Schizosaccharomyces pombe: one gene and its partner. The protein of the gene in region 1 interacts with the protein of each later gene in a pairwise test. Each region holds a gene or a part of one and is shown in the gene's direction. Other genes may lie near its edges.

Region 1 (9,837 bases):
TTCAATCGTTCGATATCTAACACTAAGTCTTTTATAAGGACTTTTCGAAAGACAAGCTGATTATTTTGAGGCTTATTGCGTATACTTTTAGCACGAGCAGCATACTCCAAAGTAGAAATTGTTTCTTCCAAATTAGTATTAGTAGAAGATACGGTAACGATCATAGAGGTTTTAGTCTTTCCCCCCAAAGAATCCTGCAATAGGCGTGTAAGCTTGGACTCACGGTATGGAATATGGTGGGCCTTTTCCACTAATGCATTAATTACTCGGCCTAATGTTAATAGTGATTGATTGATCATTCCAGTTTCTCGAGCACGTTTGTTTTCAGCTCCAGAACGTCCAATGTTCTCGCTTCCAGCCAAATCAACCATATGAAGTTTGCTGGCGCGCAGCAAGTCATCAGAGTTATTATTTATGGTAAGTGAATTAGTTTCATCTGTCATTCCCGAAGATACCTTTCTATGCAGAGTTATCGTGAAGATTGAATGACTACGAGATGAAAGATCGTTACACTTTGTAGCAGCAACTTGACGCCGGTGAGAGCCTTCACGTAACAATCGCAACCCATCGCCAGCATTTTTTATATAACTTTCTTCAATACCAGTAATAACAACGTTCCCTCTCCGCGAAGTATCTTCAAAAACACGAGCTGGCTTTCGCAATTCTTCGGAAACCAAAAGATCGCGAATTTCCTCGTTGTAAAGTTCATAATAGGAGCATTTGACAGCATATTCTTGATTACTGTTGTCCAAGGAGGAAAATAATTGATAAAGGGCACGAGGAATAAGGCCTGCTCCTTCAGACAAAATTCCATCGGAATCGCTAAGATCACCAGACATAGTATATGTTTTACCGGTTCCAGTTTGTCCGTACGCAAATATAGTACAATTATAGCCGTTCAATACTTGCTCCAGCATGGGCGCTACCGAATTTTCGAATAGCATTAACTGGTCAGCTTCAGGACCAAAGACTTTATCAAAGGCATACGTCTTCGTGACCAACATGGATGAAGGATCCGACTGGATGGCCAATTCAGCACCCATAGCGCCCGAAGTCGATACAGCAAGGCTACTATTGTCGCGTACTTCTTGGTCTGTACGACCACGAACACGGACGACTACGTTAATATTGGTTTCGTTCTCATCATGAAGTGCATGATCTGTCGGAGAATTAGTGTCGGAGCGATCTGGGTACCCAGTGTCAATAGTAGGAGGCTCACGTCGTTTCCTAGGATTGCTCGCAGAGCGGAAATGTGAATTTGGAGTAGAAACCGGGTTTTTAGCTTTCAACCCCTGCTTTCCTAGAAATTGTTGTGAGCCACCAGGTGCAACTCTAGGGGCCATTCGGTTTTATGAGTAAGGATTGTTACAAAGAAAGCGACAAGGTTGTTAATTTAAATTGCAATTCTGTTGTAAAGTTCAATAAACCACAATATAAAAAAAAGGGGTAAATTTAAAATAGGAAAAGATCGTAAACGTCTGTTTTTAGGGGTAAAAAGAATGAATAAATTGGACAATTGTCGCTCCTGAGTATGTTGTTGAATTGTTGTAAACAAGAACGAGGACTCAGACACGGTAACACTTGGAATGTCTCATTCCAATGTTTTGCAGTACAAATCAACAGTATAAAAAGAGAAAAAAGAACTTTTATGAAAAATCCAACAATTGTGCTAATACTAAAAATCAATACAAAATGAACGAACTTGGCAGATAAACTGTTGTCAGTAATGATAATAGTCAAAATCGGTAGAATGAGTTAAAATCTAAAAAAGAAGAAATATAAAACAGAATCAACTTTATTAGTTTATTTTAAATGATACCATGTTTTTTAAATTCTACTTTTCATTACTTTCAATTTTTTTTAAATTTCTCTAAAGTTACTCTTCGATGTCCCCCCAGTCACTGGGTGAAGAAACTTGACTAGAGACAACGGCACTACACCAGAAATGTCGGAAATCCTAATTGAGGAAATTAAGGATCAAATCGTCGTAAAGGACGAGGAAATCGATGTTTCTGAACTGGAAGTTAAGCTTAATGTAACTAAACCTGTTGGATATGACACGGTTGTAGTAATCGAAGGTGCTCCAGTTGTCGAAGAAGCTAAGCAGCAAGATTTCTTCCGTTTTTTGAGCTCAAAAGTCCTTGCTAAAATTGGAAAGGTTAAGGAAAATGGATTTTATATGCCATTTGAGGAAAAAAATGGAAAAAAGATGTCTCTTGGACTAGTTTTCGCCGATTTTGAAAATGTTGATGGCGCCGATCTTTGCGTTCAAGAGTTGGATGGAAAGCAAATTTTAAAAAACCATACTTTCGTTGTTCGTAAGTTGAATCAACTCGAAAAAGCTTTTAGCACTCCTGATGAATTTAGTTTCGAAGAACGTGAATTTAAGGAGCGCGAACATTTGCGTAGCTGGTTAACTGATTACTATGGTCGTGATCAATTTATCAGCTATTACGGTAACCGTGTATCTGTTAACTGGAACCGTAAGAGCGACGTCCCTGAACAGATTGTGGATCGTGAAAACTGGACCGAGACCTACGTGCAATGGTCTCCCATGGGCACTTACCTCGTATCACTTCATCTTCGTGGTATTCAATTATGGGGTGGGGAATCTTGGGGAATGTGTGCTCGTTTCTTGCACCCCTACGTAAAATTTGTCGACTTCAGCCCTAACGAGAAGTATCTTGTTTCATGGTCCTATGAGCCTGTTCGACTTCCTCCCATCGGACATCCGGCTCGTGAAACAATGCCTTTCACTGATGATGATGAAGGAAAACATTGCTTCGTTTGGGATATTGCCTCTGGTCGTATTCTTCGTTCTTTTAAGATTCCTCCTCAACCAGAAGGTTCAAAGGATGGCAAAAAAGTTATTTGGCCTATTTTCAAGTGGTCTGCCGATGATAAATACCTTGCTCGCGTTACTGTTGGTCAGTCGATTTCTGTTTATGAGACACCCTCCCTTGCTTTGGTTGACAAGAAAACTATCAAGATCGACGGTGTGCAAAATTTTGAATGGTGCCCAGTTTCAGATGCTCTCGGACGTGATTCCAAGGAGCAGCTTTTAGCTTACTGGACCCCTGAAATTACCAATCAACCTGCTCGCGTTGCCTTAATTAGTATTCCTTCAAAATCAACTATCCGTACGAAAAATCTTTTCAATGTTTCCGACTGTAAGTTGTACTGGCAGTCTAATGGTGATTATTTATGTGTTAAGGTTGATCGTCACACAAAAACTAAGAAATCAACATTCTCTAACCTTGAAATATTCCGAATTCGTGAGAAAAATATTCCCGTTGAAGTAGTGGATCTTAAGGATGTTGTTCTCAATTTTGCCTGGGAACCTAAGAGTGATCGTTTTGCCATAATTTCAGCTAATGATCAAGTTTTAAATTCTACAAATGTAAAAACTAATTTATCGTTTTATGGTTTTGAGCAGAAAAAGAACACCCCTAGTACTTTCCGTCATATCATTACTTTTGATAAGAAAACATGCAATTCACTTTTTATGGCGCCTAAGGGTAGATTTATGGTTGCTGCAACCCTTGGTTCCTCTACTCAATATGATTTGGAGTTTTACGACTTAGATTTTGATACCGAAAAGAAAGAACCGGATGCTCTTGCCAATGTTCAGCAAATAGGTTCTGCCGAGCACTTTGGTATGACTGAGCTGGAGTGGGATCCTAGTGGTCGATATGTTACTACTAGCAGTACTATTTGGAGGCATAAGCTTGAGAACGGTTACAGACTTTGCGATTTTAGGGGCACACTTCTTCGTGAAGAAATGATTGGAGAATTTAAGCAGTTTATCTGGCGTCCGAGACCTCCTTCTCCATTGACAAAGGAAGACATGAAGAAAATTAGAAAGAAACTTAAGGATTATAATCGTTTGTTTGATGAAGAGGATATCGCCGAACAGAGTTCCGCCAATCGTGAATTGGCAGCCCGTAGAAGACAGCTCATTAGTGAGTGGCAGAAATATAGGGATGAGGTTATTGCTCGGGTTGCGGAAGAACGTGCAATCACTGGCCAACCTGCTATCACTGTTCCTGCTGAAGAAGAAGAAATAATTCAGGAAACGGTTGAGGAAGTAATCTCTGAAGAGATAGAACCCGTTGAAGATTAAGGGCTTTACGCTACCTTTTGTCATAAAAAAATTGGGGCCTTCTTCGAAATCGGATGTTACTTGATTAAAATCATGATCTTGTTGCCGCAATTATGTGTTCCTGGACGTGTATTTGCGTTTCGATTGGTACTGTATGGGGAAATTTATATTTACATTAGTCCTTTTAAATGGAATTGCATTTGCGTTACATACTACTGTATATAAGTAATATAGCGTTCTTAATAGTTTTGTGAATGTCCGAGTATTATTTGACTCAAGAAAGTTTCTAAATTCATATTGTCTTAATGCACTCTAGAGATTTAAACATAAACATTTTATTGGTAAATAAAGTATAAACAAGCCAATTTAAAGAGATAATTGATAGCTGCAGAATGAGAAAATATATCATTCATAAAGAGCGCATAAAAATTAGAAACACTACAAAAACTCAACGTTTGATATGAGTACAAACAAAAGTTAAGCCACTAAGACAAATTCCCATACCAAGCGGATGAATTGCCGTCAGAAGCGTCTAAAACTCGTCCTGCTATGGGCTTGCTTTTATCCGTCGTAACCGTTTTTTTCAACCGAGTGCCAGTATGAATTTGTTGAAGTAAAGCACTACGATCTCCTGGATTGGGAACAGAAGGAGCCGATGAAGCAGGAAGAGGTGGTGGTGGAGCAGACGGTGGACCGGCAGGCATTGGCGGTGCAGATGGAGGTGGTGGTACTGACATAGGAGGAGGTGGTGGTGTTGGAGCAGACATTTGAGGTGGTGCCGCCGATTGAGGTCTTACAGGAGGTGTTGAAACAGGATGAGCAGGAGCCATACCACCGAATAATTTGGCGGCTAAGGCAGCTGCATCTTTACTTGAACGTATGTCATCTTCGCTATCTTCTTCTTCTTCATCACCATGTTGACTCCAATTGTCAGAATCGTGACCACTAGGTTGAAGAGGAGAAGGAGCTGGTGGTTGCATTTTAGCGAATGGATTGAAATGATTTGAAGGGGCTGACGGAACAGCAGGAACGGCTAAAGAAGGTTGACCTGCAGCATTCATTGCCAACGGAGAACCTGAATTATTGACAGGACCCATCCTAGGTGAAAAAGATTGCGAAGTTCCCAAGTTGGTAGCAGGAGCTATATTATTTATCGCTTGAGGCTTCTGAACAGGTTCTTGAGGTGCATAAGGTGATGATCTATGAGGCATGGAGTTGTCTGCTGGTGCAGATGACAAAGCTGCCGCAGAAGGATGCTGAGGTGCAGGCGGCGCTGGGCTAGGAACATGAGCGAAAGAAGATTGGGATGGAGGTAATGTAGAGCTAGGAGCAGTGGCAGGAGCCACCGAAGAGGGAGGCTGTTGAGCTACAGAGGGTATCATACTTGGAACAGGAACATTTGGTACCGCTGGAGGTAGCTGTGAAACAGGAGCAGGGGGTGCAGGCGCAGATGATGGAGCTGGAGCATTTGTAACCATTCCGGGCGCCTTCGGCTGAACCGGAGCTACAGCATGCATTGGTGCCGGAGGTACCACTTGTGGAGCATGGTTTGAAGGTGCACCTGGATTGGTTGGTTGACTTGCCTTAAGGGGCATAGTGGAGGTTTCATCTTCAATTGAGGAAACATTGGATCCTGAAGAAACAGAGCCAAATGAATCGCGTCTTTCAGGAGCAGATGGTCTTGCATTAACAGCATTGTGAGATGGCATTGCGTTCATAGGTTGAACGGGAGGTGGTGGAGCATGCACATTCGATGAGTCCGGTATTTGCGGTTTAGGAGAAGTGGGAACAGCTGGCCTGACAGGTGGTTCAAGTGACATTTTTGAAAACTGATTTTCCAGTGGTGCTTGTTGAGGTATGGGAGCTGTGTTAAAGGACGTAGAAGTAGTAGATGGGTCTTTAACAGCTGCTGTTGGAATTTGTTTAGTCGGCTGGGGGTGCTGAACAGTGGGAACCACAGCTGGAGGAGTAGAAATAGAAGCTGAAACAGCCGGTACATTAGAAGAAACTGCTGAAGCTTGTTTTCCGGGTTGAATCTGTTGAGCAGTGGGTGCGGCGACTGGTGTGCTAGTTGCAGAATTGACTGGTGCAGGAGAAGGTGTACCCTTTTGACGAGGTTTTATACCAAGAGCGGCCAAACGCTCATTCATACGACGTTGGGCTTCAGCCTTGATACGAGCAGCACGATCTTCAAGATTAGACGAAGCTGATGGTGATTCAGAAGTAGCTTTAACCTCGGGAGTGTGCGTATTTGATTCAATGGGCTTCGATTGTTGAACTGTGGAAACAGAGGGAGGGTTCAAAGTTTGAGGTGCTGCTGGGGCAGGTACAGGCAGCTCTTTGACAACACGCGTGACAGATTCATCAACAACGTTCTGAGATAGCCAAGCATCATCATTTGCCGCTGAAGGTAGAAGTTTTGCTCTAATGTTATTCTCAATGTTGGTAACATAATTTTTCATTTGCTCAAGCGCAGCCTTTGATTCATTCTTTTGTTTCTCCATTTCTGCTAACTTCGAAGAAATTGTTCTATTACGTTCTTGGGTAGCCTCTGGAGATGTTTGGTCATAAGAATTTTTAGTATCCTCTGCTTGGAAAAGTTTGAGCGACAAGCTGGCAATTGTATGATCAACTTCATTAATATCAGAAAGCATTTTAGAGACACGGGTGCTCAGCTCTTCTAATCGCACATTCATAGAAGCAACTTCAGGTGACTTGTTAGAAGTAGAAAGTCGATTAATCTCATCTTGAACAGATTTAATGCGATAAATTAAAGAGTCATTTTGAACGTCATTGGCAGGAGTAGCAGCCAGTTTCTTATCTTCAAGAGCATTGACAACAAGACTCTTTTCATGAATTCGTTTTTTAAGAGAAGCTATTTCAGAATCAATATCATTAATAATAGGAGGAGCAGATTCAATCTTTTCTTCCTTAAAATCTCTTCTTCGAGCACTAGAAACATATGCAGATGCATCAGAATCATTGTGCCGATACAATGTAGCATCCTTTTCAGTCGTTTCGCTAGGATTGTCATAAAACGAATTCTTCTTAAGTTTGCTTTGATTTTCGGCGCCAAAAGGTTTTCTGTTACTCGTGTCATTCTTAATTAGGTTCTTAACTTGATTCAACGACTCAGTAAAGTTTCTAGTAGAAGGAGGAATTAACTCAGGGGGAAGCACGGCAGGTACTTCATTACCATTCAATTTGCGATATATCAAATGAAGGGCAACAGCAAATTCATCACGGTCTAAAGAACCCTTGTCACCGTGATCACATAAGTTCCAAATATGCTCAAGCTCAGTCCGGGTTAACTTGCTTTGACCAAAAATTTCCAAAACTGCGTTGCCACCAAGGGTACCCTTTCGCTCCTTGTCCCAAGCATCAAAAATTTGGTCATAAATTCGTTTTTCTTCTTTGCTGATAGCCCAAGGAATATCTTTCTTCTGCTGAAACGTATTGTTAAGGCCTCCAGAAGGAGCATTTGGCATCATTTGCTGTCCTAATGCTTCAATTCCAGGAAGATTACTTAAAGGAGTATTAATGAAGCCCCATTGACCAGGCATTCCGGTTGGTTGAGGTGCCATACCACCAGTGCGCTGGGGAAGCATAGGACCACCAGTCATCTGAGGTTGCATACCGGTTCTCTGAGGTGCCATCGGCTGCATTCCAGTTCTTTGGGGAGCCATCGGTTGCTGCATACCTGGCATCTGAGGCTGCATACCAGTTCTTTGAGGCATCATGGGTTGCATGCCAGTTCGTTGAGGCGCCATCGGTTGTTGCATGCCTGGCATTTGAGGCTGCATACCGGTTCTTTGAGGCATCATGGGTTGCATACCGGTTCTCTGAGGCGCCATCGGCTGCATTCCAGTTCTTTGGGGAGCCATCGGTTGCTGCATACCTGGCATTTGAGGCTGCATACCAGTTCTCTGAGGCATCATGGGTTGCATACCGGTTCTTTGGGGAGCCATCGGTTGTTGCATACCTGGCATTTGAGGCTGCATACCAGTTCTCTGAGGCATCATGGGTTGCATGCCGGTTCTTTGGGGAGCCATCGGTTGCTGCATACCAGTTCTTTGAGGCATCATGGGTTGCATGCCAGTTCTTTGGGGAGCCATCGGTTGCTGCATACCTGGCATTTGAGGCTGCATACCAGTTCTCTGAGGCATCATGGGTTGCATGCCGGTTCTTTGGGGAGCCATAGGTTGTTGAAATCCAGTCATTTGAGGTTGCATACCAGTTCTTTGAGGCATCATGGGTTGCATGCCAGTTCTTTGAGGAGCCATCGGTTGCTGCAAACCCGGCATCATGGGCTGCATGCCAGTTCTTTGAGGAACCATAGGTTGTTGAAATCCAGTCATCTGTGGTTGCAAACCAGTTCTTTGAGGCATCATGGGTTGTTGAAATCCAGTCATTTGGGGCTGCATGCCAGTTCTTTGAGGAACCATAGGTTGTTGAAATCCAGTCATCTGTGGTTGCAAACCAGTTCTTTGAGGCATCATGGGTTGTTGAAATCCAGTCATTTGGGGCTGCATGCCAGTTCTTTGAGGAATCATAGGTTGTTGAAATCCGGTCATCTGTGGCTGCATTCCAGTGCGCTGTGGCATCATCGCCTGCGGCTGAAATCCGGTTATTTGAGAAGGTATACCAGCAGCTTGCTGGAATCCACCAAACATTTGAGCTGCCATCTGCTGAGCAGCAGCTTGTGGAATTGGCTGAGTTGGTTTTGCGTAATTTTCATCCAACGAAAATGAAATTGCATCTACCATGGCATTTACCTCATTAAGAATCCCATCCGGAACCTTATCAGGTATGGGCTTCCCTGTAAGTCCTAAGTTACAAAGATACATAGCCAATACAAATTGAGGAAACAAAAGGCGACCAGAGCGGGTGGTATCTGATAACCTCCAAATTTTTGATAACTGAACGGTAGGAAGCTTAGAACGAACAAGTATTGCTTTACCGATCTCAGATGACATTGCTTCTTCTCTACCAACAGCAGATTTGAAAAGTTGCTCAAATTTGGCCTGATCAGCAGCAGAGACGAATGATAATCTAGTGTCCATCGCTTTACTATTATGAATTTGACCAGTCTTTTGAGGTTTAAGGGGCTGTGCAGCAGGCATGAAGGACGCAGTTTGCTGAGGTTGAACAAAAGATGCAAAAGGTCCAGTAGGTTGAGCTTGCAAATATCCAGTGGGTTGAGGTGGCATTACTACACCAGTTTGCTGAGGTTGAACAAATCCAGTAGGTTGTGGAGCAAACGATGGAGCAGCCCCAAAGGGTTGAGTCTGCATAAAGCCAGTTGCTTGTGGAGCAAATCCACCAGTCTTTTGGGGTTGCATAAAGTTATTCATTTGAGGTTGATATGCCGGCATTGCTCCAGTCCGTTGAGGCTGTATAAAGCCTGCACCACCAGTCCTTTGCGGTTGCATAAATGAAGCAGGCTGTTGCGACATAAACCCTGTAGGTTGCGGTTGCACAAACCCCGTAGGTTGGGGGGCAAATCCAGGTATAGCTCCAGTTTGCTGAGGTTGCATAAAACCTGTATTGTTCATTGTTTGAGGCATCATCCCATTATAGCCATACATTTGCTGCTGCTGTTGGCCATAATCGGCTACAGACCCCGTAGGCTGAGAAGCATATCCGAATCCATTATTAAACTGAGTAGCTGGTTGTGATTGCTGAAAAGGTAGCATCGTATTACCAGCATAGCCATCAGGTTGATAAGGCTGTTG
Region 2 (9,902 bases), 2.6 Mb from region 1:
TTGTACACTTAGCATCAAACTCATTAAAATGAACCAATCCACTTGGTCTGTAAACCTAACAAGGCTTGTGTGAAGCTTTAAATAACGTAAAAGAGAAAGAATAACTTAAAAAAATGCAGCTAGAAAAACAGAGAAGCAAGAAATGGATACCTTCTAGTTTACTATTTTGCGCAACTAGATACTCTGTTGCTGCTATTTGAAGAGGCAGTAAGCACGCATAGTTGTTCTTTATTTTTGCATTTTTTTAATCTCATTTTGTAATGAAATAAAGATAATTAAATGGTTTTCTTCTCTTTCACACGTGTCTATGCCTCAGCTTCCATTCCGTGGCATTTTTTTGACGGGTCGACTGCCGACAATACTGAGCAACAAATCCAGGGTGAAAGCTGCTTACTATTCAACTTTAAACGAATCTATAACCCACCGTTTAGATATTGATAGAATTTGGTTATCCAGCTATCAGTTACATTTGCAGTTTATCGCCTATCTCTTCATACTTAAATTTGCATAAGGTTGTTATCTCAACTATCGTTCTGTGGAGAATAATCCAGATCTGAAAGTTACTTGTTTACATTTTCTGTTGAATTACTAAAAATTTTTTTTTGCTACATTCACTGTCTTAGAGGCGCTGTTCCATCCTATTTTACTTATAAACTTACTGTTTTCAAGGCAAAACTACATTTCGTGTGTCGTTGCTGTCTGTACATTAAATCTACCCGGGGGAAGGAGTTGAATGGAAAAGGAGGCCATGCTCCACAATAGTTAAATAGCTGTGTTGAAAATCCATTTAACTGAAAGGCAAACTCGTACATTGTTGTGACGATGCCGGTCTTTCTCATCTATTCCCATCTCAAAAAAGTAACAACCTTCTGTGAACGAATTTTTTTTCCCGAGTCATCCGTTACAGCTTCGGATAGAAAAACCATCACTACCTTGTAGTTAAAAAACATTTATTTAAAAAAGAAATTATCCGCTATCTACCTGGTTTTTTTTACTCGTGCTGGAAGTCGCCTCTGTGTGCCCCCGTTATTTACTACTGACATATATAGCGATTTTCGGTGAGCGTCAAACACAACTTCTTCCCCAAACAGCGCCATTGTCAATTTCACGAATTTTTGAATGTTTGGGATTGTGGAAGTCGACATCGTTTCTTGAGATTATACTACTTGTAAAAGTGCTGTTTACATCTAGTCACTCGAAGTTTTGATTCGTTTGAGAAATTGCTGAAGATTATATCTCGATCTTGACTTAAATTCAAGAGAAAATAGTGTTTTTTTTTAATAAATGCTAGAATATTTATCCATTTCCCTTGGATATTTTACTTTTTTTTCTTTTTGAAAATATAGATCAGATCATTGATTTTCTGTTTTAAGAGTTCCCCTTTTACGTAACAACTTCCTTTTTGGTTAAATCATATTAAGTATTTTTAACCATCACTGATTCTAGTGTCTGAATCAATTACTAATAGTCTTATTACTGTGCTTTGCTTCTTTGTTGACCAAAAAGTTTTATAACTCAGAATCTTTAGGACCTTTCCAATCCAATTTAACATTTAATCATTTTTAAATCCCTCTCTTAATTTCAAAGGTATAAAAAAGAAAGAAAAAATTTTTTCTAAAAAATTCGTTGCCATGTCGTCAGTGAATTCAATTCCCACAGCAACTTCTACTGTTTATATTTCAGTACTGCCAGCTACAGCTACACCTAGTGGTGGTAGTGGTGGAAATGTTTTGCACGAAGATCTTAATAAATTTTATGATTATGGAAACACTAGTTGGATTTTAGCTTGTACTCCATTGTGTCTTATTATGGTGCCTGGTGTGGCTTTTTTCTACTCTGGCTTAGCAAGAAGGAAAAATACATTGGCTCTTATCATGCTCTCTATGCTTGGTTTATGTGTTAGTTTTTTCCAATGGTATTTCTGGGGTTATTCTCTTGCTTTTTCTCAAACTGGAACCTCTGGTTATATTGGCAATCTTCGTCATTTTGCCTTTATTCGCACACTTGCCGATTACTCTCCTGGTAGCAATAATATTCCCGAGCTTGTATTTGCAAATTTTCAAGGAATGTTCGCCGCAATTACTGTAGCCCTCTTCACTGGTGCCGCCGCTGAAAGAGGTCGTATTGGTCCAATGCTCATCATCACATTTGTGTGGCTCACTGTCGTTTATTGTCCCATAGCGTGTTGGATTTGGAATCCAAATGGTTGGGCTTTTAAATTTGGTGTATACGATTTCGCTGGCGGAGGACCTGTAGAAGTTGGATCAGGATTTGCAGCTTTGGCGTATACGGTTTGTTTAGGACGTCGATCCAAATTTGTTGAGGAACAATTTCGCCCTCATTCTGTGCTCAATGTTGTATTGGGAACATCTCTGCTATGGTTTGGTTGGCTTGGTTTCAACGGTGGTAGTGCTTACGGCTCCAATCTGCGAGCCGCTATGGCAATCACCAACACAAACTTAGCAGGTGCTGTAGCTGGTTTAGTATGGGTTATTTACGACTACATTTTTCGCACTAGGAAATGGTCAACCATAGGTTTTTGTTCCGGGGTTGTTGCCGGTTTGGTGGCTGCAACGCCTTGTGCTGGTTTTGTGAGTCCTCATGCCTCTTTGGCAATTGGTGCTATTACTGGCTTATGTTGCAATTGGGCCATTAAGTTAAAGTCACATATGCGCATTGATGATGCGATGGATATTTTCGCTATCCACGGTGTTGCGGGTTTTGTGGGTACCTTTTTGAATGGTTTGTTTGCCGTTGATTATATCGCAGCAATGGATGGTATTTATGTTGGTGAAAACAAAATCAGAGGTGGTTGGTTTGATCACCATTGGCGCCAACTAGGCTTGCAAATGGCCTATATTTGTGCTGTTGGTGCATACGACTTTGTTGTCACGTTTATCATTTTATTCATTACGGACAAAATTCCCTACCTTCAACTTCGAGTGAGCCCTGATGCTGAAGAAATTGGTGTGGATGCTGATCAAATAGGTGAATACGCGTTTGATTATATTGAAGAACGTCGTGAATATAAGCATTGGAAGATTTCCCCTGCCGGTGTACCTGAAGAAATCATTATTTCCAATGGCGTTGCTCAACCTACTGGAAATGTGGCTGCTCCCGGCAAGATTCTAGAATCAACAAACCCATTGGAGCTTGGACTTACGATCTAAATCTTTTTGCATCGTACAAAGTTATTTGGGTTTAAAAAAAAAAAGTAAAAGGTTGAATTGGAGAAAAGATTTTAAGTTAATAAAAGAAATGAAAATTTTGGTAGATTGGTTTATGATTGTTTAAAGAAAAAAAGAAAATAGCACAACTACAAGGTCGCTGTTTGGGAAGTTTTGAACAAAATTACAAAGACTAGAAATTTCTTGAAAGATTTGCTTGTTTTTACTTCTAAAGAGGTCAGAATCTTAAATTATAATTTTAAGGTTTTTTTTTTGTTAACAGCATTTAAAATGAATTCGGTTTAAAGGCAAGACTAATAATTGTAATGAAAATATTTTTATGCGAATTTGGTTTGTAATTTGTGTATCCAAATATGAAGAGAATTAATTATCTTATAAGCCAAAAGATTTAAAATGAGCAAGTCAATCTTTGTTTCCAGTCATAATAAGTTTGTATTTTGTATAATCATCATTCACCATGAAACCAATGAATAGGTACAAAAAAGTACGTCGAATTAGGCTTTAATAACTATTTACTGTTTACGAATTTACCGGAAGTGAAAACCTCACTACTGCATCGAAACAAAAAATAAAAAGTAAACTCCCACTGCGAGACTCGAACTCGCAACCTTCCGGTTAAAAGCCGGACGCTCTAAGCCGATTGAGCTAAACGGGACTTGGTTGAATGGGGTTAAACTTAGTAGTTTATATCTAATTACTTTTAGAACGTATTTTTAATGAGAATATTGAATATGAAATTTCTATATAAACTTGGCGATTGAAATTGATAATTAGCGAATCTCTTGTATCCATATATGTATATTTTATATGTATTTAAATAATATTCAGTTTTGAATAAAGAAGAGTCTTTGAGTCTTAAATTAGGCAATAGATGATGAGTTCCTATGAATTTTTTTAATTTTTTAATAAAAATAACAAATCAAATTAAAGTAAAGGTTAAAAAAATATAAAATTCAAGAAAGAAACATGTTGAGTTATTCTACTCATTATTACAAAAATAATATGTAATGTCTGAACCATCATTCCGCTTTACTAAATGTTTTATTTATTTTATTGCATTACTGTTAAGATGTCAATTTATATATATATTCAATAAAACTGTAAGAGGGTTTGAAGGGCCAGTAAAATTAGCAGTCTATAGTAAGATATATAATTTATAATTTTTATGAACTTTGGTACTCTTGTTTCAGTAAATTGTGTGAATTTATTTATAGTGCTAATAAGATAAATTCGATGAGGATAATTTCTTACAAGTGCCAAACAGTTGAAGTAATAACTTTATTCATAGTATGGATTTTTTTTTTCTACTTCTCTTTCATTTTTGACCTACATATTCCATTTCTACTTTCTCTACCGCCATTGGATTCGCTCATCCCTCTAGTACTTACGTTGCTTTTTCCTTCCTTCTTCCACACACCAGTGACAAAAAAGCTTGTATATTCAATTGTCTCTTGATTTTTATCAAATACAAGCTGAGATTAAAAGAGCTGGACATTTACTACAAATTTTAGTTGTTTGCTTAATTCCCATTGGTTTTTGTTTTGTAAAAGTACGTGCGGGAATCATACTCTTATTGAACTTCTTATACCTTACACGTAGCGTCGATTGAAAAGATTTTATTTCTCAACTCATCTAAAAATTGCTTTCTTTTTTAAGGCCTTCATCTGGATATATCATTTATCTCCGTAAAGCCACCTTTTTTAACCGCTTTTACGTTTGGGAGATCTGAACCCTTTACCTCATTATTTTAATTCCTTAAAGTATTAAAGTTCACTAGCTTTTCTTCTAATTGTTGGCTTTTTTCGTTTTATGACTGATAATAATTCAAAGAGCAAAGATTCTTCACAAAAAATTCCAAATGATTCGTTAACTCCCACTATTTCGAAAGGTTTAAGAAAAGATGTTTTTTATTGGACTAAAGCCATAGCTTATACAACGTGGAATTTCTTCGATTCTAGTCCAGTTACACCTCAAAGAAATCCCATATCTCTGTTCGTGCGTGGCCTTTCTCATCCTTTTTTACGCCATCGTTTATCCAAATCCCAATTTAATGAATGGTTTTTATCACATAACGGTGTTGATCCAGTTCAAGCTCAAACATTGCCCGATCCTCTTTTGTTTGATATTCCGGACCATCAAGAAACGTCTTATAGTTTGCTTGAAGGTTACTCAGTCACTGCTCACGATCATTCCGACACTTCACCTTTGCCGATAACAAGCTCCAACCAAAAGGAAGGCAAAAAAAATGTATCATCGATTGATGTGTCAATGGTTTCCGACTCTTCTGAATTTAAGCCCGATAGCTTACAACACGAAAAATTGGTGAAGAAATGCAATCAACTTCGTCTTCAAAAGCTCATTAATTCTAGCGAACTTGCACAGATTGATTTGGAGTTGTCCAAACTCTATTCTCGAAGAAGGCAAGTTCTTGAACGCCTTAGCAAGATCGAGGAACAGAATTTAAAGTATACTTCCAAGCTGGCTTCTGTTGAGAAACTGATGTTAGATTCGGATGCTCAAGATTTGTATAGCTCATATTCTCATGATTTAATTCCTTCACAAATTGAAGCGGGTAAAAATGGAGCTAACCCCGATGTTTTTGATGATACACACGACAAGTATACAGATAATTTATCTGCTAGGGCTATCTCTCCAAGAGCTCCAAGGCCATCTACGGCTAGTGAAGTGGTATCAGATTACTTTGAACAGAATTCCGCTTTTTCTAAAGCACCAGAGAATACTGAATCATCTGTGAATCAAAATTATATAGTTGGAAATCTCGTAAAGCAGTTTCAAGCTCATTCTGAATATATTACGAGTCTTGATTTTTCCCATCCTTTTGGAACTTTAGCTACGGCCTCGACTGACAAAACTGTGAAAGTTTGGGATATGGCGGGTGTTGTATACCTGGGTTCATTGAAAGGTCATTCTGATTATGTTTCTTGTCTGGCGATTCAAGACTCCTTTATTGCTACTGGCTCTATGGATACAACCGTGCGGTTATGGAATTTAGATAATGATGTACTTCATAAGGATAATCCTGTTGAAGAGAGCCTTAATTCTCCTCCCGATCAACCTGTTGACAATGCCACAAATGTTTTAACATCTCACACTGCCCCTGTCACTGCATTAGCATTATCTAGTGATGATGTGCTTATAACCGGTGCCGATGATAAAACTGTTCGACAGTGGGATATCGTTACGGGGCGTTGTATTCAAACTTTGGACTTTGTGTGGGCGGAAACTCATGATACATCTACTAGTCAAATTTTGGTCAGTGACACTTACAAACAAGAACCTTTCATCAGAGCTTTAGACTGCTTAGATGCTGCTGTGGCTAGTGGGACTGTCGATGGACTTATTCGCATCTGGGATTTGCGAATCGGTCTTCCTGTGAGAAGTTTCATTGGGCACACAGCTCCTATTTCTTCTTTGCAATTCGATTCCAACCATTTGTATTCCGGAAGCTATGACAATTCTGTTAGAATATGGGATTTACGAAGTGGCTCGCCAATTAATATTATACCTATGGAGAAAAAAGTGAATTCCTTAAGACTGTATCAAGGTCGTCTTGCTGTAGCATCTGATGAACCAAATGTTAGGATATTTGATACTGTATCTAATCGGAACTGGATTTGTTCAATTCCTTCTCACTCTGATTCCATAGCAGCCGAACCTAACTCAGTACCTACTTCTGTTCAATATAAAGATCGCTTTTTGGTGGATGGAAAGTCTGATGGATCTGTTAGCGTTTTTTCTGCTTAATTTGTATTTTTTATCCACACCTTTATTTATTATACTCTCGTTATTGTGTTGAATCTGGATAACGTTAATTTTAAAATTTTATGTCTTTATGCTTTGGTTAATGGGTATTAACTTCTGTTTGGTTTTTTTATTTATTTATGGACAAATAAAAAGGAACGAGACATTGCGAATAAAAAACTGTGATGTTAATTTTGTTCAAAATATTTAAAAAAATTCTCAAAGCAAATTGTTTGATCACCACCTCCCTTCTGCTTCTTATACTGTAGGTTTAAAATTTAGTAAATAAAAATCTTTTCTAGTTTACATTTTTTTGGTTTTACTAGTATGAAGTACGCAACCTCATTCTGATCTGAGATGTTGTATTTCATTTTGTTGATCCAGTTTACAAAACACGCTCAGCGTGTTTAATGTCAACTACACATAATAAGTATTGAAGAATCTTTTTGAAATTAGCAATTTGAACTCACACAGTGAGTAAAATATGGAAATAACCAAGCTCTTTTTATATTTCAGATTAACTGAATGGTCATTTTATTTTTGAAGCATAAATAGTCATAAATGCTAAAATTTCAAAATTTTACATCTGCAATATATATAGAGAATTAAACAACTGCGTTCATCTGTCGTCAACAGTCTAACAATGTCAGAAAACTGGTAGCGTTACTTTTTAAAACATCGACATAACTTTTAGCATTTTGTATGAGGCTATTTTAAAAACTAAGTAGAGAACATGATAGGTCCAAGCATTCCAAATCACAAAGAATATATTTAACATGTAAGAGTGTTAATACCAAAAAAGTATGTACTGAGGGCAAAAGATAATAAAGAAGTCATAAGTCATAACAAGATAAAATAAGAAAGTTATAAGAAAAGATGTGTATAATTAATGCTTATTCTCAAGCTTTTTCCAAGTGTTGAAAGCACGTACAGCGTTATAGGCAGTACGGAACGTTTTTCTTGCATTGAAATTTTCCCGGACGTTTGGAAGCAAATTGGAGGTTGCGGGACGCTTTTCAGACAGGAAGGGGTGCTTCAACGCATCAGCAGCAGTTAAACGTTTCGAAGGGTCGTTTTCCAAACATTTTTTAATAAAGTCCTTGGCCGTTTCTGAAATGCCAGACCAGCAAGGATCGTTAAAAGTGTACTCGTTAGCTAAAATTGCTTCTATAACTTCAACCTGAGAAGGTCGAGCAAATGGAGTATAACCACTGAGTAAAAAATAAGTTATAACGCCAATAGCCCACATATCTCTATAAACAGTATTAGTCAAGATACATAACTTCTGAATTAAAATGGTAGTTGATCAACTTACACAGGTTTTCCATATCCGGTTCGACGAAAGACTTCGGGTGCCATGTACTCTGGTGTCCCACATGCCGTCATGAGCATATAGTATTGAGAATCCTCATAAAAGTGGGACAATCCAAAATCGGCAATTAACAAATCTGAATTCGGATCTTTAGAGCGATAAAGTAAATTTTCTGGCTTCAAATCTCGATGTACAATTCCATTGTCATGCAAGTACTTAACTGCTGATGTGGTAGTACGCATTAAAGCAGCAGCATCGGCCTCATAAAATGAACCTTTGGCACATATTCTATCAAAAAGTTCACCACCGGTGGCCAGTTCAGTGATTAAGTACACTGTTTCAAGGGTTAGTGAACAAAACACATCACAATAACATTTGATTCATCAAATCGAAATCGGAGACATACGATTATTCACAGTTTCAAAAAAATCAACCAAGTGTAAGATATTAGGATGTTCATAAGAAACACGTTTTAGAATTGCAATTTCATTCTTCACCTATACCACCAAAAACATGTTAGTAAACGTAAATAAGGATGCTGTAAGTACTTAAGTCTTTACTTACAAAGTCTTGTTTCTTCTCCATCATCTTTTTATTCATAATCTTAGCCGCATACATTCTATGAAAATTTGGTCAGCAAACAACTCGAATTTAAAATATACTTACTTGTTAGTTTCGATATGAACGGCTTCACGAACCGTCGCATATGTTCCGCCTCCCAAAACCCGACCGACACGATATTTGCAAGGTAATAGTTGTTTCTGATCCACCGTAGCCTTTGGAGCACCGTCTTTCAAGGCCGAGGTGTTTGGTTTGTATGTTTGCTGCATAGCTGTAAAGAATCAATAGATGAATTATTCCAATGCCAACGAAGGTAAACGTAAAAGGTTTCTCTTAATGTAAATTATTGTATTGTTAGATGGTGCCATAAACAATTCTGTACTACAGAATTCTTTTATGAAACCAAAAATGTAAAGGTATGTAAATGAAAAAAATCCCGTAGAAACAATAAAGAAAATATTATTTGCGCGAAGCAGGCTGTTGAGTTAAACGGTGGTTCAATAACAGAATGATCTAAGCAGCGCAATGACTGTCCACCAACTTATGACAATAAGTGCTTAGCCTCAACTTGTAAATATGGAAAAATTTGGAAAAGGTATATTGAAATCCTCGGATTTAACAGGATATTGATATTGAATGTACCCGAATAGTATTGATGAAGATAACAAGAAAACCAGCGTCTGATAAATACCGTCCAACTGATTTGCAATTGCAAAACCAGTAGTCTGCAGTATAGTCATAAATCCTGGTAATTCCCAATCGGTTCAGTAATTTCCGTACCTATTTTCCTCTTCTAAGAGAAAACAAGATCAGAAAGATCAAAATTACAATTAGCGTATTGAAACCACCAAACACTGTAACAATGCAACACAATTATTTAAAGAATTGAATTTAATTATACAATCCTTAAAAAATCGCAGTTTTATGAGCAATTGGCAAAACGCGAACTGCTTGAAATTTCGCTGATATTACCAGCTCATGAGAGTTAAGTAGATATAACAAGCCATCATGGCGAATATTGGTCACTAACGTATACCGTAATAATGCGCTATCCCATGCATTTTAGTTTGTTTAAATAC

The links.
Region 2: the proteins of tif302 (region 1) and mdv1 interact in a two-hybrid assay, tested with the Schizosaccharomyces pombe proteins (2 studies listed by BioGRID).

What each region holds. Positions count from the first base shown.
Region 1 is NC_003424.3:4,308,634-4,318,470, forward strand, and holds tif302 (translation initiation factor eIF3b (p84)), read left to right. Parts: upstream 1-1,927; 5' UTR 1,928-1,945; coding exon 1,946-4,123; 3' UTR 4,124-4,428; downstream 4,429-9,837. Other genes in the region: kinesin-5 family plus-end directed microtubule motor, bimC subfamily Cut7, read right to left, coding at 1-1,343; pan1 (actin cortical patch component protein PanI), read right to left, coding at 4,588-9,837.
Region 2 is NC_003424.3:1,729,996-1,739,897, forward strand, and holds mdv1 (CCR4-Not complex subunit Caf4/Mdv1), read left to right. Parts: upstream 1-4,599; 5' UTR 4,600-4,997; coding exon 4,998-6,953; 3' UTR 6,954-7,312; downstream 7,313-9,902. Other genes in the region: plasma membrane ammonium transmembrane transporter Amt2, read left to right, coding at 1,632-3,170; calcium/calmodulin-dependent protein kinase Cmk1, read right to left, coding at 7,837-8,203, 8,266-8,596, 8,669-8,759, 8,827-8,881, 8,929-9,092.